Drosophila melanogaster: one gene and its partners. The protein of the gene in region 2 interacts with the protein of the main gene of each other region in a pairwise test. Each region holds a gene or a part of one and is shown on either strand. Other genes may lie near its edges.

Region 1 (5,590 bases), on a different chromosome or scaffold from region 2:
TTAAATTCTTTTCATTTCTGAGAGCATACTGTAATACATAATTATCCATTTCAGTTGGGCTTTAGTCAGCTGACTCAGCTGCCAAATTTGGCAGTGTTTACACACTTGCTTATTTCGGGAATCCTTGTGCTGATGACCACTTGGGTTTATGGACGCGTTCGTTTCCAGTGCGACTTGCAGTTTATGTTAGGCAAAACGATCTCAAGTTTCAAAATTTTCTTTATACGCTTTGCCACGCCCATTTTTCTGGGACTGTGTCTGGTGAGTAGTGGTTATTATTATAAAATTATTTGTATATAGTTAATGACTGATATTATTGGAATTTCTTGCAGTTTCAACTAACCTATTTATTTACGCGTGATCGCATACACGATGTCCTGATTTATGTGAGTCAGGGCTTGATTCTCCTAACGGCCATATCTTATATGGTTTACAAGGTATGTCGGACGAATGGCGATTGGCGCCAGCGATTGCAACAGTGCCTCGCACCACATGACTGGCATCCGGTGGATGCGGACAACCGGCGATTCTACGAGGAAATCATGGGCATCTCGGAGATGCTGGTTATAGATGCCAATGCCAACACCACATAGTGCCTAAATATCGAATACTCCCTAGATCAAAACTCAATACTTACAGCGTCGTCACTTGACAAATGAACTGAACTGAACTCACTTTTATTATACACCCATATGCGGTCACATTCACACATGCAAAAAATACAATAACAAACACGCACACTAGTATATAAATAAGCGGATCCATTGGCAATGGCGATTGTTAGTTGTTGTAATGAAGTTGTACTGATATTTTCCAAAAGCTAGCTATAGTGAACAATATACTGGTGATATTTAGTAGTTTCCTACTAAAATGTTCAACAAGCTTCGGCCAAAAATATTGTTATGAACTAATAAAATTTTACCTTTTAGGCATTGAAAATGTTGAAGTCTTTTTTTGAAGTTGGTAAACGTATAAGGAAAAGAGTTAAATTTATGATATACGGCTGTCAGCACTTTAAACTATTTAATGTCGCACTAATAATAATAATAATTTTGGAATTTTAGTTATAGAATATATGACGTTTAGAGTAGATTGTTAGAAGCATGTTTTTAAATGCATGCAAAATAATAATAGTTTGAAAAATATATGAGGTAATTGTATATTATTACCTAAAACTAATCGCTAATAACAAACAAACATAAGAAAAAACAAATATTAAGACATTATCAATGCGTTATTGAAATCAACAGCCAGGGCGTTATGGGGTTTACTTGCTTTTGCATTGCTGTCTGAGTTTTCCCCCAGATTTGATAACTTTGCGGCTGTCTTGTTTGTCATCCCATTTCCCGAGCACGACCATATCAGTTTCCAGTTCCAAAATCGAAATGAACTTGGCAATGCACGACGATAGGCGCACATAAGAGAGACAGGCACAGATATAAGAGCTCTAATAATCTGAATTTAAAGCAAAATAACAATAAATGCAAATTTATGGTCGAGATCGGAAATACACTTACAAAACGTGTAATAACAAATTTACAATTATTTTGATAACCGAAAGCTTGAAACTATAGATAACTCGCTTAGATATATATTTTCCTAGCATATCTTTATTTTGACAACAGATCTGTTTGAAATTAGAGGGAGGTTTCAAATGAATCTCGGTATAAAGATACCCCACTTCCATAGTAATAACTGTGTGATTAAAGACCAAGTGTGCATCGCCTAAGTTGGGGTATCTCATTCAAGAGGGATGAGCTAAACAGAGGCCTGCTGTCGGAATCGGATTCAGTTTGCCGGCATCGGTTCTACTAATTAGTCCGTCAATTTAGAGTAAAACGCTCGCGGATCGGTTGCAGAAAAAAAATATATATATACTAATATTACCTCTGCGGGAGTGTAAAATTAGATCGTAGTTATATATACTTATTTACAAAATTTGCTTAAATCCATTCTCGCCCACATTTTGGCGGTAATATTGTGGGTAGTTCAACATGGTATATGAAACATCGTATGATACCGGGCATAAACCCTTTTCCCCCGATCTGAATCGAGGAAAATGGGATAAGCCAACGGACTTTATGTTCGCCTGCTTTGGATTAGCCTTGAAGTTGGATGTCTTTGTGGCATCGTTTTGGATGTTCTTCGACATGGGCAGTAAGTAACGCAAGGGCGACTACGTATATTATATTGCTGATAAGGTTCGGATTTAGACTAATCTGTGGAGGGGCGGTGCTCTGCTAATGTTCTCTTACCTTCTCATCTGACATACATACAAAACAATGCCTAATTCTGTCGATATTTATGTATTTAATGTAATAATTGTGTCTCTTTATACAGCACAAGAGATAACAGTTTATACATCAGAATTTAATCTTTATCTTTGAATGCATTTATTTAAATACACTATTTGCTTGGACCAGTTCTTGGAATACTGCCGTACTTTGTATATATGTCCATTTACTTGGTTCCCATCATGGTCATTCACTCCTTCATGGGTCAGTTCTCCAGCAGTGGATTCATCTCCGCCTTTCGCCTGTCGCCTTTCTTTAAAGGTACGTACGTAACCGAGAAGTTTAAACAGATATTAAATATTGATCGAAATATCAATTTCAGGCATGGGATATGTGAGTGGATTTTTAACTATCTCCATGCTAATTTACTATAGCATTTTTGCTGCGGTTCCACTTCTGTTCATAATAAACTCATTTCGACCCACTTTACCTTGGAGCTGTGAGGGCTTGAGTTCTTGGCACAATGGAAGTGCAACGCTATCTAGTGTATGAAATTTGTGTATGACTAAATTGAATTGAAGACTAAGTACATTTTTTATATTTAAGTCTTGTAATAAGACACTGATCTTGGAGGACTTTTCGGAATACAACAGATCTCACCAGCTGCTCCATGTACCATCCGTGCTCTATTTTCAGTAAGTGCTCCTATTTATATAGCAATAAAACATTACCTAATTAATCCAATGCAAATATTTTAATATTATTTTAAGAATTGTTTAAAAATAATTTCTTTTTAACTCTATGTTTACAGAAATCACTATGATAGCATGCAACAGGATGCGGTTCCGGATTGGTATAAGGATTACGAGTTGTCTTGGCATTTTGTTGGCCTATTCGCAATCATTTGGGTTGTGATTGCATTTATTTTTTATAAATTCTCAGAGACGGCCAAGTTTGGAAAACTTATACGCTACATGGTGATTGTTACCCTGGTTCTTCTTTTAGTGTGCTTTGTGCGATTCCTGTTCCTTCCGGGAGCTCTTAACGGGCTCCACAGATATGTGACTCCAAAGGCAAGTGACATGGCCATGGGAGTAGTGTCCACATTCATCATGGTTCTTCATGCATTCGGAGCTGGTTGGGGCAGTGTAATAACTCTGTCCAGTTTCAACGGTTTCAAGACTGACATCATGTCGTATAGTTGGATTATTTCCTTTGGACAGATCTTCATTTATATCATGTTTGGCATGGTTTCCTTTATGCTGGAACACTACTTTAATGGTAATAGCACTTTATAGATTTGCAATATCTTTACTGTATTGAAGTTATCCCTTTCAGAACTATCCGATGTTGATGATAACGGACATGTTTTGAGCCATTGGCTGCTATATTTGTCAAGTGCTTCTGCCTTGTCCACAATGGCTTGGCCAAACCTATGGACTTTTATATACTATTCTATGCTTTTAATTGCTGCTCTAATTGTGATGGTGATGATAATCTACACAATTAATTTTTATTTTTCACGCTACTAAACTTAAATAATTTTATTTTCAGACGACGCAAATCTTCACGGTTTTGCAAAGTTTGTTTGATGAGTTCGAAGTACTTAGAGTGAGAAAACAAGAGGTGACCTTTGGGCTAATTGGAGGTATTGCACTCTGCTCCTTTTACTTTTGCACCAATGTAAGTACTTAAGTTTACACAAAAAAGATATATTATTAAGAAATATTTTAAACAATTTTCCGTTTCTAGCATGGCATTATTTTCTTTTCGGCCTTGGGTCTTGATGCCATTTTCTCACATAGTTTGCTGCACTTACTGCTCCTTTTGGTGGTTTTGTGGATCTATGGTCGCGAACGATTCCAGCGAGATATTGAGTTCATGTTGGGCCAGCCCTTTGCCTCCTGGAAGGTTTTCATACTCCGCTTTATAGCTCCAATAATTTTAGTCATTTGTCTGGTTAGTTAGTTAGTTAGTTGCTTGTTGCTTTGAATAATCATATTCTTTTAACTAACTAGCTCGCGGGAATTGCTCTGTCCATATCGGAGCACTCTTATTCCACAACAGTGGTCTTCGTGATGTCAATTGTCCTCGTGGTTTTGCCCATTCTGGCCATTCCTGGATATGGATTTTACTACCTCTACCAGAGCACGGGCACCTTTTGCGAACGCTTTAAACGCACCTGCCGACCCACCGATTGGTATCCGGTTGAGATGGAGCACCGCCAGCAGTACGAGGAAGCTGTGGACAACACGGAGATGACCCACCAACTCTTCGAGGTTACTGAGGAGGTCAACTAGTTACTGATGCACTTAGAAATGTACTAAATATAAATATATGAGTAATTTTAATGCGTATTTAAAAAAAGGTATGCATATATATACAATCATATTGTGAAAGGTGGAAATGCTACACTTATTGCACTATGCTTACAGCAATGGGTTTTACAGCGTTTATCTCACCTGAATCGATCAGGTTCACACGTGTGACTGTCCAGAGAAACGTAGATATCTCGGAAAAGTTAATAAAGTTGAGCTTAAAAAATCTGTGACGTCCACAATTATAATGCTTACATAGTTTGTCTATCGAGAGAGAGAGAGAGCTTTTAAAAACGTGTAATTATTAATGTAGTTATTGATTAATTATGGTTATAAGCAAAGTACTCTTATTGACGTCATGTTAGTGTATAGAAATGCCTTTTAATTTCAGAATGCCACTTCGGTGACTCACTACTTTTAGGAACGGTATTAGTTTCATTGAGATGTTTGTTTTAACATATCCAAATTAATATACATCATATTACATTAAATTATTAGGGATCTTCTTACTGTCTGTTTGAACTTGTTCACATTACATAGTATTACAAAGTAATACCGACTATTTATTCAAAAAATTATGCTTAACATTATTTCTTAAAAGTGTATTTGATGGCCGATCTAGTGTGAATGGTCCGGGATAGGCTATGAGCATCTCAGTCCAGTGGAATCAGCTACACTGCGGTTTATCAGCGGAATCGGATTTAGTTCGTCCGCATCGCTGCTACTAATTAGTTCGTCAATTTAAAACGCTCGCGAAATGTTTGTTGTTTGCCAAAGCTTTTAATAATAAGTACCTCCATCGGCGTGTGAAATTGGATATATTTCTTTTTATACAAAAGTTTTTCAAATTCCTTTGCTCACACAATTTACCGGGCTATACTAACGTCACAAAATGATATATGAAACATCGTATGATAGTGGGCACAAACCCTTTTCCCCCGACTTGAAGAGAGGAAAGTGGGATAAGCCCACCGACTATATATTTGCCTGCTTTGGATTAGCCCTTAAACTGGATATATTTGTGGCCTCGTATTGGTT
Region 2 (3,597 bases):
GAAATAGGTGGTTAGGATGGCTATCAGTGAGTGATATGTGTCGAGCCCATAGTTAAAGTAACACAATCCAGCGCCGCATCCAGCAAAGAACATGTGATGCACTGTTTTATCGGCAATAACAGAAATAAATTTTTGATATAATGCTGCCACCGGATAACCTGAAACAAATTATATACATTAGTTGGATTGATTTAGCAATACAAAGTTTAAATCATGTAGTAAACATTTTCAACTAATTTGGAAGCTTCAACGATTCTTTCACGTTTAGTTAACGTTTTTGCATAGCCTGACTGTAATCAAATTCCTATCTAATAGGAATGAGTCACATTTTTATGGAATTTTGGGAGTCATGGTAAAATTTTAAAGGGGTTTGTAATTTATTTAGGAACATTGTTAAGCATTAAATCTTATTGTTACTAAGCAGTTTGTGAAAAAGTTCATTTAACGATACATTTCAATTAAAACCATGCAAGTTGTATATGACCACTGACAAAAAAAAAATCAAAAATAACACAGTCTTCAATGATAGGTACATAATTTATAAACACCTGTGCAAACATATGTATAACGTATATGTGCAATGAATTTGCGTGATATGCGGATATAAATATCCGGAGAAAATATCTTAACTTAATCACTTGACTTTAAGATACTTCGAGTATTCAGTGTCCCTACCAAAAAGCACTGCTGCTGGGGCATCTTACCTGCCAGAATGGTGAGTAGCAGCCGGAGTGCCTCCACGGGAACGCCCACTCCCGAGGCGATCCCGTCCATCAGGCCATTGTGGGGCAAGTCCTCCTCGAATTCCGCCATGCTAAATCTAGAAGAGAAAAGAGTTGCAGTGCTATCAGTGAACTCTACTCGCGTGATTCGGATTCGCTGGGTTATTGCGCTCCAGTCCTTATCACGCCGTAATTGTTGCTGTTGTCATTGGCGCATATTACGCAAACTGATTGTTTTTTGATCATCAAAGGAGTGCGTCAAGGGGCAAGGGGGAGGCTGATTAAGAAAAGAGGAAGAGCAACAGCAACAACAAACGAGTGCACTTGGTCAGGGTCAATGAAAATTCAAATGCAAAGGTCGCATTATCTCGGCGAACCAGTGAACTCGATAATGACGCACTTGCCACCGCACGAACTTGAATATTTTATGCTTATTGATTTCACGGCCAGTTGATGAAAGCGAGCGGGAGCAACAAAATCGAGAGCGGCATGCCAAATTATGGCCAAAATTACCTAAAGTTAAGTTACTAACACTGGAGCAGTGTGGCCGTAGGCGAGAGCACGGAAATTACCCGACTCTAACAGTAATAGGCACACGGATTAACCCACTGTTTCTAACATTTAAAAGTAGTACTTAGGATCCACATATAACCATATATGTTTTTACTATCTACTAAAAACATGCTTTATTTATATTTGATTAAATTTGTTTGCATATTAAAACGAACTGCTAATAACAGTATTTTATGCATTGTTATTAAATAATTCTTTGACATATTTTACATATGTCCCATATTTTTATGAATATATTTTATTTATTTTATTTGAAATAATTACAAATAATGTTTGAATTGCCTAATTACTATTTAATTAATATTAAACTAATATTGTTTTTGCATTATATATAATAAACTAATAATTCTTACACATAATATGTGTAATAATAACTGTACGTACCATATTTTAATGAACACCTAAATATAATACAAATTTTTTTTTAGCGGCGATGGTGAAACTGTGGAATTTTGAACATGGGGACGATTTTTATTTATTTATTTTTTAGTTATTTGGAGGTGAATTTTTGCCGACCGCCGACTGTCTCGTTGTCTGTCCCGATTTCCCTAATCAAATTTTTATGAAATCTTAAAACAATATATATATATATATATAGTAAGTTTTGGAAACTTATAGAAAGAACTTACGATATTAAAAGCGTATTGGCAAGCAATGGGTTAATTGAAAATCGTAATCTCTGCCACACGCATTGCTACGGAATAATTTTGCTACTCCGCTTTGGTCACACTGCTCGGCGACTAAAAATTGAATTGCATGAGAATTTAAAAAGTTTCGTTTAATAAGTAGAGGCATTAGTCAACCGATTCTGGAAATCACAACACGAGGTCAAGGGTCAATGCACAGTCAACCACAAAGGTTGAGCCAAGAAGCGTATATCCCAACAGCTGTTCTGCCGCTGGGTGAGATTACATGTTTACGTTTACGTGTCACTTCGAAAACTGAGATTTGTGAGCATTGTATTAATTTATAATTAATTAATTTCGTTAAATTCACCCGATCCGCAGCAATCCGGATGCCAAACTGGCACACTCGGGGAGCAGTATGCGCCGCAACAACTACCCGTACCAGCCCCTAAACCAGCACCCTTCAGGGCCCCATCCTGCGAGCCACGACGCCTTGGAGGCGGAAAACGAGCAGGCGGCGGAGGAGTTGAAGCAGAAGATCGGGGCCCTGAAGTCCCTCACCATCGATATAGGCAATGAGGTGCGCTACCAGGACAAGCTGCTGCGCGGCATCGACGACGACATGGACCGGACGAGTGGATTTCTGGGCAACGCGATGACGCGGGTGGTGCGACTGGCCAAACAGGGCGGTGGTGCTCGCCAAATGTGCTACATGTTCCTCTTCATCCTCGTCGTGTTCTTAATCCTCTGGATAACCCTAAAGTTTAAGTAGTTGTTGGTAATTTTATAAAATATATACCCACATATTTGTATGGTTTAGTGTAGTCGAAGGTTGTATTTGGTTCGGAATGCGGTTCACTTTTGGCTTAAAACCATAAAGTTAAATATATTTCTTAAGTTCAAACCAATATTAGAAAGACAGATACGTACGTTAAAGTTTTTTCAGCTCGTTCTTTATAGTTCTCGAGTAATAAGCAAAAGGAGATTCCAGATATAAATAAGGGAAGGTTCCAGTATCAAGTGATCAAATTACTTGCAAAAATTGCTGATTTTATTTAGCCCTAATCGCATAAAATGTCAATCCTTTTATCATTTATAAACTTCTTCAAAAGCAGCACTCATGTTACTCAATTGGTCCGTTATATTTTCCAATTTCCATAATAGAATTCATCAACAAGAAGCCCCTGTTTTTTTCTAAAAATATGTACTTACTAGTTTACTTTATTCTTTGCGCACAGAGTGACAATTTGTTGAAAGTAGAAAAGACGCACGCATACAAATTAAGGTCGATTGGGTGGGTTACATTTTGGGCTTACAGCTAATGATGATTATGATTATCGGACTTGTTACTGTTCTCATTTCCACATAATTTTAATTTTCACTTTAATTCGAATTTGGAACCGTTTCCTTCACAACTTTTCGAGGGCTATTGCTTTCGTATAACACAACTCAAAGTTGAACTAAATCCACGTAAGAATTCAGAATGTCGGTGAAAACGGAAGCCGGAACACGCCTGTAAGCAGCACTTTGGATTGGATCAGCGGCTATGCGTGGAAGGTCTTCATCTTTTTATTGCGTCTACTGAAGTCCTGGTCGAGGTCTTCGTCGTCGGCCTCCTCGCTGCCCACTTCCTCGTCGCTGAGAAATTCGCTGAACTGATCCCCATTTGAACTCTC
Region 3 (3,084 bases), on a different chromosome or scaffold from region 2:
CTCTGTTAAACTATGGGATTTTTTCAGCCTGTTCACTTCGATATCAATACCACGGTTTTCCGTCTGAATTATCACAGTGCGTATGAGTAATAAGGTTTGGGCTTTAGATAAACGTTTGGCAAAGAAGCATTGCGAGTCAGAAATTATGTTAAATGAGCAGACTACTAACTTTGGAAAAAGGCACTCGCATTCGTTGTCCGACTCCCGCCCACATAATGTCCCACTTTGGGGACCCTCGTCAAAATATTTGGGGCGAGAGCTCCGACGCTGCGGTTGCAATTCAAGAGCCAAGAGTCATAAAATCCTTTATCAAATGAGAGCAGCATGGGCCTGGAACCGGAGTTGGCAGCACTCTTGACACATTTTCCGCTTTTATTGGCAAATTGAGAAACATATAAATAATAACTCGGAATGTGAACTAACTTTGAAATGATGTGGTGAGCATTTCCAGCAGCCAAAAAGGATTGTCCCCCTGCTCGCGCATCATAAAACTACAAATTTTTGTGGGATGTTATTAAATTTGGCTTTTTATTATATTGTGGTACTTTCGCATTGGGATTTATGTAAGACAATATGTTACCAAGCGTGTTCCCTTCGCCACAAAAAAAATGGCAACCACAGTGTGAGCCCTACACAGAGTTATTTATAACGAATCGTAAAATTTTATTGCACGAAAAAACTGTGTGAATTGTTTGCGGCCTCCATAGACATAGAAAGTTAATTTAACGTAACGAATTAGGGGTTCTGAGGTCCTTTGCCTGCGGGCACCTTCGTCTTTCACATGATGGTGCAGCAGCAACAGCATTCGCCACACTGACAGCAACAGGGGCAGCAAGGACAACAACAGCAACTGTTATCCTTGGGAGGAGGCGGCGGCGGAGGAGGTTGCACGATCACCGTGGTCGAGGGTTGGGGTGGCACTTGCACCACCTCCACAACGCGAGTTCTGTGGTCCATTTCGATTGGTTGTAATCCGGTTGTTTTCAATTATAAAATGTACTTGTTGCACCGCACGCGTTTAGTTCGGCACTGGTCATATTGTTGGGATTGTGCTATTATAGCCGCGCTCTCGGCAATCTCTGCTATGGGTGTTATCTATAGATAAAAGCAACTGGAACTCTTATCAGTGGCCAGCGATTTGTGTGAAGTACCTAGCGATTCGTTGGGGTCCCACCTTGGTTGTCTAACCAGCTTTATGATAGAAAACTACAAAATCGATAGGTTATTTATTACATGATTTTATTTATGAATTCGCTGCATTCAAGCGTTGTTGTTCAAATAAACAAAGGCCTTTCTTGTAACTTACAAGTTATGCAAAATCTGATAATATACTGATAATTTTTATCGGGTTTGCTGTATACTGTATTATCTGATGTTTATTTTTCTTGCAATTCAACAAACAACGTCATCATCATTTTCCAAGCCCTAAGATGTCTATATATTTGGTTATATTTTTATATTTTTTATCTTATACTCTATTCTTTGTTATTTACTTTTACTTGGAGTCAGATTAGCACTTTAATTAAACTCGTGTTCGGCACTCTCATTCCCCTATGACTTTATCAAATGAATGACTCACATTACACAAACTATCGGGGGAAACTTGAAACACACAAATGTCGCATAATGCCAAATGGGGCAGCTAATTATATATGCCACCTTATCTGAGCACTCAAAACTATATCCGACGACGCATTTTGCATTCAAAACCAACCATTCGAGTGGCCCCATCAGCATCAGCGGCCACATCAATTTCGGGCGAATAGTTCCTCGTTGCTATCAAATAGCGGAGATCTCAATTAAAATTTTCACCCAACACCGCAGATGGGGTATGTGTAAGGTGGTTGGTTGGCTTTTAGAGCGGCGTTACCTTGCTGAAATTAATAAAAATATATATTTTTGAGCGCCCTTCGTGCAATGGCGATGATAATTAGTGTACGTGATTCTATTTACTTCGACTGGGTCCCCAAACCTCGATGGATCCCCGTAGCATCCCCAGTTGGGAAAGGGGTTGGTTGGTTGGCTGGTCGGTTGGTCGGAGGGTCCTTTAAGGCAAGGGAATGTCCCTGTGTGTTTGGAGGGTGTAATATGATATGCGCGTAAAAAATATAGTACGTGTGTGCGTGACAATGGCAACAACGTGCGGCAGATCCCTAAAAAAGGAACGGATGGGGAACATCGGTTTTGGGGGACCGGCGACGAATGCCGGGTGTCAAAAATGAAACTACGCCTGCTCGGAATTTTAAAATAAGCAAATGAGTTTTAGCTTGATGAAAGCCAGCAACAACAGTAAGCAACAGCAGCACCCCATAAATATTTATAAACTTTCCCCTGTCATATAAATACAGGGTCATTAGTTGGCTTGCGCACCTTACGCCGGAGGTTCCATTCCCTCCTCGAGGATAATAAAAACGAACTAGGCGGCAATTTAAATTCCTCTACTAATAGAGTCGTTACTTTCCTCCGACTCCAAGAACATAACTAAAGGGTTAATGGGGTTCACGCAGATTTATTATTGGGAGGGTTGTTTAAAACCGGAAAGGGGAAGTGGGAGCACTGTTGTTTTAACCAGTGTAAAGCAACAGTTAAGAACTGCAGTAAAGGCAAAGAATCCATTAAAAATATTACAAATCAGGCAAATAAGTTTCCTTATTACAAGCCATGAAAATATTTCAATTAGAACAAATTTAAATCCACTGTTCGGGTTTATAAATAGAGTATACGCAGTGTTGTCCAAATGCAACAATGGTAGGTTGAACTTTGGTCAGAACCAAGCCTATTGGCACTGTTTCTGTATAGACACATATAATATATATAAAAATGATAAAGCAAAATGGCGAAAAGTGGCAGTAAAAAATAAAATGCGCTGCCGCAAAAGTGCCATTTGTGGCATAAACACATGCGCGCCAAAAACTTTGATAAGACAAAAGCCGAGCCGAGGCTACCAAACCAGGTAGGCAATAGCTGGCAGGTGGGTAGGCGTGCCATGTGGGTGGTTGTTAAAAAAGTGGCAAGCGGCAGGATGAAGGCCAAAAACTTTGCCAAGTACGGCGGCGGCGGGAGAGCCAGAGTGGAAATGTCGCA
Region 4 (3,009 bases), on a different chromosome or scaffold from region 2:
TTTCGCCCCCTTTGTTCTGGCTGGCGTTTTGGCATGTGCAGGGATTCTCTTCGAGCGGGCAAATGAGTTCCGTTCTGGATTCCCTTTGTAGTGGGTTATGCAGATGCATATTCCTTAAGATATAACAAAATGTTGCATCACAGCTGCCCAAACACTGGCCTCTAACGGAGCATTCGGAGATCGGAAGATGGAAAACGGAACCGTTTTAGAGATCATATCTGTTCGATATTATAATTTTTGAGTTTTTACTGTTTACATAATCATTATTGTTTTAAAAAACATTGCCACAATAGATTACCAAACCTGCATTTCTGTAGCGTACATTGTGGAGCTCGATTTACAGTTGTAGAATGCTGTTCTTAAAATTTTGAATATGGTTTTAAATTGTTCTGTATCCAAAGACAACTGCAGTTTTTTTAATTTCACATAATACGTTGGTATTTTAACAACAAATAATGTTAATAAAATTACTAAATGGGCTAGTAGGCCAATTCCATTTGGCCTGTGACTTCCCAGAAAACTGTAAGGCTCGAATCTCCGGAATTCGTGGGAAACCCATGGTCGGATCGCGTCCTAGAACGGAATGGCCAATCCTTTCGCATAATGTGCCCACATTAACACCACATCGATCTAATCCCATCTAAATCATTTATAAGCGACAACAATTACCGTGGAAATGAAGATTTCATTGGAAATCCCGCAGCAGTGGCAAACAATATGCCCAGTATTTACATTTACAAATTATATATAATGTCTTATCCTGCAGCCATTTCCCGTCAAATGATCCCCGATAACCTTCTCGGGAGTGAGAGCAATCAATCGAGTGCAACACGTTCTAACGATTTACATGTCAAGTTGACGAGATTTGTCCTGTTGAACAATGGACTGGCGCTTCGTGTGTGTCCAGGTGTCCCCTCATACTTAAATGCCTGCCCATCGATTTCGGTTTCGATCGGGGTTTCGCTTTCATTTGTCACTGCTGTCTGACACCTTGTTATGCGGAGATATCCATCGAGGGCCCGAATGCGAAGACTTCCCCCTTTTTCGAGCTAAGCAAACACAGTTGCGGCAGTTTCAAAATTTCGATTATGCTCGCGTGATAATTATGCATGCAATCGTAAGCTTCCCTCCTGAAGTAGTTTGACATACGCAGTATAAAATAGTATTGGGTCTGGAGTTCTGGTTTGGTTCGGCTTGGCTTTATCGGTCGACGACAATCGGTCTCATTGTTTCCGTTTCCCACCGTCTGGCTTTGCCTTTGTACGAATTGCGTCTTTCGAATGGCCCCATCCCCATCCCAATCCGAATCCCAATCCCCCGTCCCCTCCCCATTCTCGAGCCGAAGTTGTCCAGCTGCGGCAGTAAATTTTATGGTTAACTACGGTCCGACATTTGTGCTATTTAACCTTTTTGTGCCATTGAGCTTCGGGGCAAAAGATCCCCGATCCACGTGCGACTCTGTTTGCTCTGACTCTGGTTCATATGCTAATGGGTGTCTGGTGGGGGCACAAACAAAACCAAGTACTTCTTACTTACAACCTGTAGTTTGAAATTTGAGTTCCTGGACATGTTCTCCATGATTTTAAATCTACTAGGTATGTAGCAAGCTTAGTCGCACAATTCACAACAAACTCTGGAATTGACAGACACAAAACTCATAATTTCCTTATACATATCGAGCGACGCCAAGTCACATATAACTCATTTGTAGAAAATAAGCAGAAGGCTTGAAATTTAGCAAATTCAGTTTTTAATTTCGGCCAGTGATAGGAAATCCTGCCAGTGGAAAAGTGCAAAGATGGAGGAGTATTCGCGGGAACCGTGTCCCCATCGCATCGTCGACGACTGCGGAGGAGCCTTTATCATGGGCTGCGTTGGAGGCGGGCTCTTCCAGGGACTCAAGGGATTCCGGAACGCACCACAGGGACTAGGACGCAGGGTCGCCGGCAGTGTGGCTGCCATCAAGACCAAATCTCCGGTGATAGGTGGAAGTTTCGCCGCCTGGGGTGCAGTGTTCAGCATTGTGGACTGCAGTCTGGTCCACTTTCGCCAAAAGGAGGATCCCTGGAACTCGATAGTGAGCGGAGCAGTTACTGGTGGAATTCTGGCCTCACGCAATGGAGCGGCGGCCATGGCTGGAAGTGCAATTATCGGTGGCGTACTGCTCTCAATGATCGAGGGCTTAGGCATATTTTTTACACGTTTCGCGGCGGAACAGTTCCGAAATCGTGAACCGCATATCATGCCTGATGCCAATGAAGGATACGGTGACTTCAACTCTTCCGGATTTGGATTTCCGGGTGCTCAGCAGGCCACTGCAACTAGCTAAATTCCGATTTTTCTTGTCTGGGTATATTAATACGTAGTCCTTTTTGATTTTCATAAGTGCTAGATTTAGCAATATTCCATTTGAAAAATTCGATGACAATAAAATATGGACAAAATTGCAGTATTTCCATTTAAGCTGTTTTTGCAAAGGAACCAATTTATTAAATTTCAAACAATTTAACACGGATTTATAATTATTAAAATACAATTAGCTGCCGTTTGCAGCTCGTTTTGGAAGAAGGAACAAATGCAATTGGCCCTCTTATCGTTCTCCGTGTTAATTCATTCGTATTCATAATCATTATTGCCTCAACAGGTAGTAGGTTGTTTCACACTTGCCCGAATCCACGACAAAGACACCTGACACGTGTCATAGGTCAGCGTGAGATATTGGCAAATGTTTACCTGTTCCAGATGACTACCTGCGATGCTGCGCCGGCGCATAGAGTCAAGTGTCCGGTCGGCGGGTGTGGCCACTTTACAACCTGTCCACTCGAGATGACCGCGGTGTTCTGGCCATTAGACTGAGTGAGGTACTGAGTGGCACTGGCTACCGGCCACATGTCCTGCTCCTAGCTGGAAAGTCTCGAGCGCACTCAAATCAGAACTTTTCCCCCGCAAGGCAAAAAACCAAAGGCAACGCCGATTTCCCAGCAACACATGGACGGTGGGAAGATGGGA

The links.
Region 1: the proteins of Bet1 (region 2) and CG13795 interact in a two-hybrid assay, tested with the Drosophila melanogaster proteins (one large-scale study listed by BioGRID).
Region 3: the proteins of Bet1 (region 2) and CG34198 interact in a two-hybrid assay, tested with the Drosophila melanogaster proteins (one large-scale study listed by BioGRID).
Region 4: the proteins of Bet1 (region 2) and Tim17b2 interact in a two-hybrid assay, tested with the Drosophila melanogaster proteins (one large-scale study listed by BioGRID).

What each region holds. Positions count from the first base shown.
Region 1 is NT_033779.5:7,722,500-7,728,089, reverse strand, and holds CG13795 (uncharacterized protein), read left to right. Parts: upstream 1-1,791; 5' UTR 1,792-1,994; coding exon 1,995-2,157; intron 2,158-2,423; coding exon 2,424-2,555; intron 2,556-2,616; coding exon 2,617-2,780; intron 2,781-2,840; coding exon 2,841-2,929; intron 2,930-3,045; coding exon 3,046-3,515; intron 3,516-3,572; coding exon 3,573-3,721; intron 3,722-3,788; coding exon 3,789-3,917; intron 3,918-3,986; coding exon 3,987-4,193; intron 4,194-4,252; coding exon 4,253-4,534; 3' UTR 4,535-5,045; downstream 5,046-5,590. Other genes in the region: CG13796 (uncharacterized protein), read left to right, coding at 55-261, 333-593; CG13794 (uncharacterized protein), read left to right, coding at 5,445-5,590.
Region 2 is NT_037436.4:19,259,411-19,263,007, forward strand, and holds Bet1 (blocked early in transport 1), read left to right. Parts: upstream 1-1,983; 5' UTR 1,984-2,245; intron 2,246-2,302; 5' UTR 2,303-2,339; coding exon 2,340-2,693; 3' UTR 2,694-3,027; downstream 3,028-3,597. Other genes in the region: nes (nessy), read right to left, coding at 1-158, 705-813; Max, read right to left, coding at 3,466-3,597.
Region 3 is NT_033778.4:19,681,943-19,685,026, forward strand, and holds CG34198 (uncharacterized protein), read right to left. Parts: upstream 1,036-3,084; 5' UTR 958-1,035; coding exon 778-957; 3' UTR 504-777; downstream 1-503.
Region 4 is NT_033779.5:15,483,039-15,486,047, forward strand, and holds Tim17b2 (translocase inner membrane 17), read left to right. Parts: upstream 1-1,690; 5' UTR 1,691-1,798; coding exon 1,799-2,329; 3' UTR 2,330-2,507; downstream 2,508-3,009.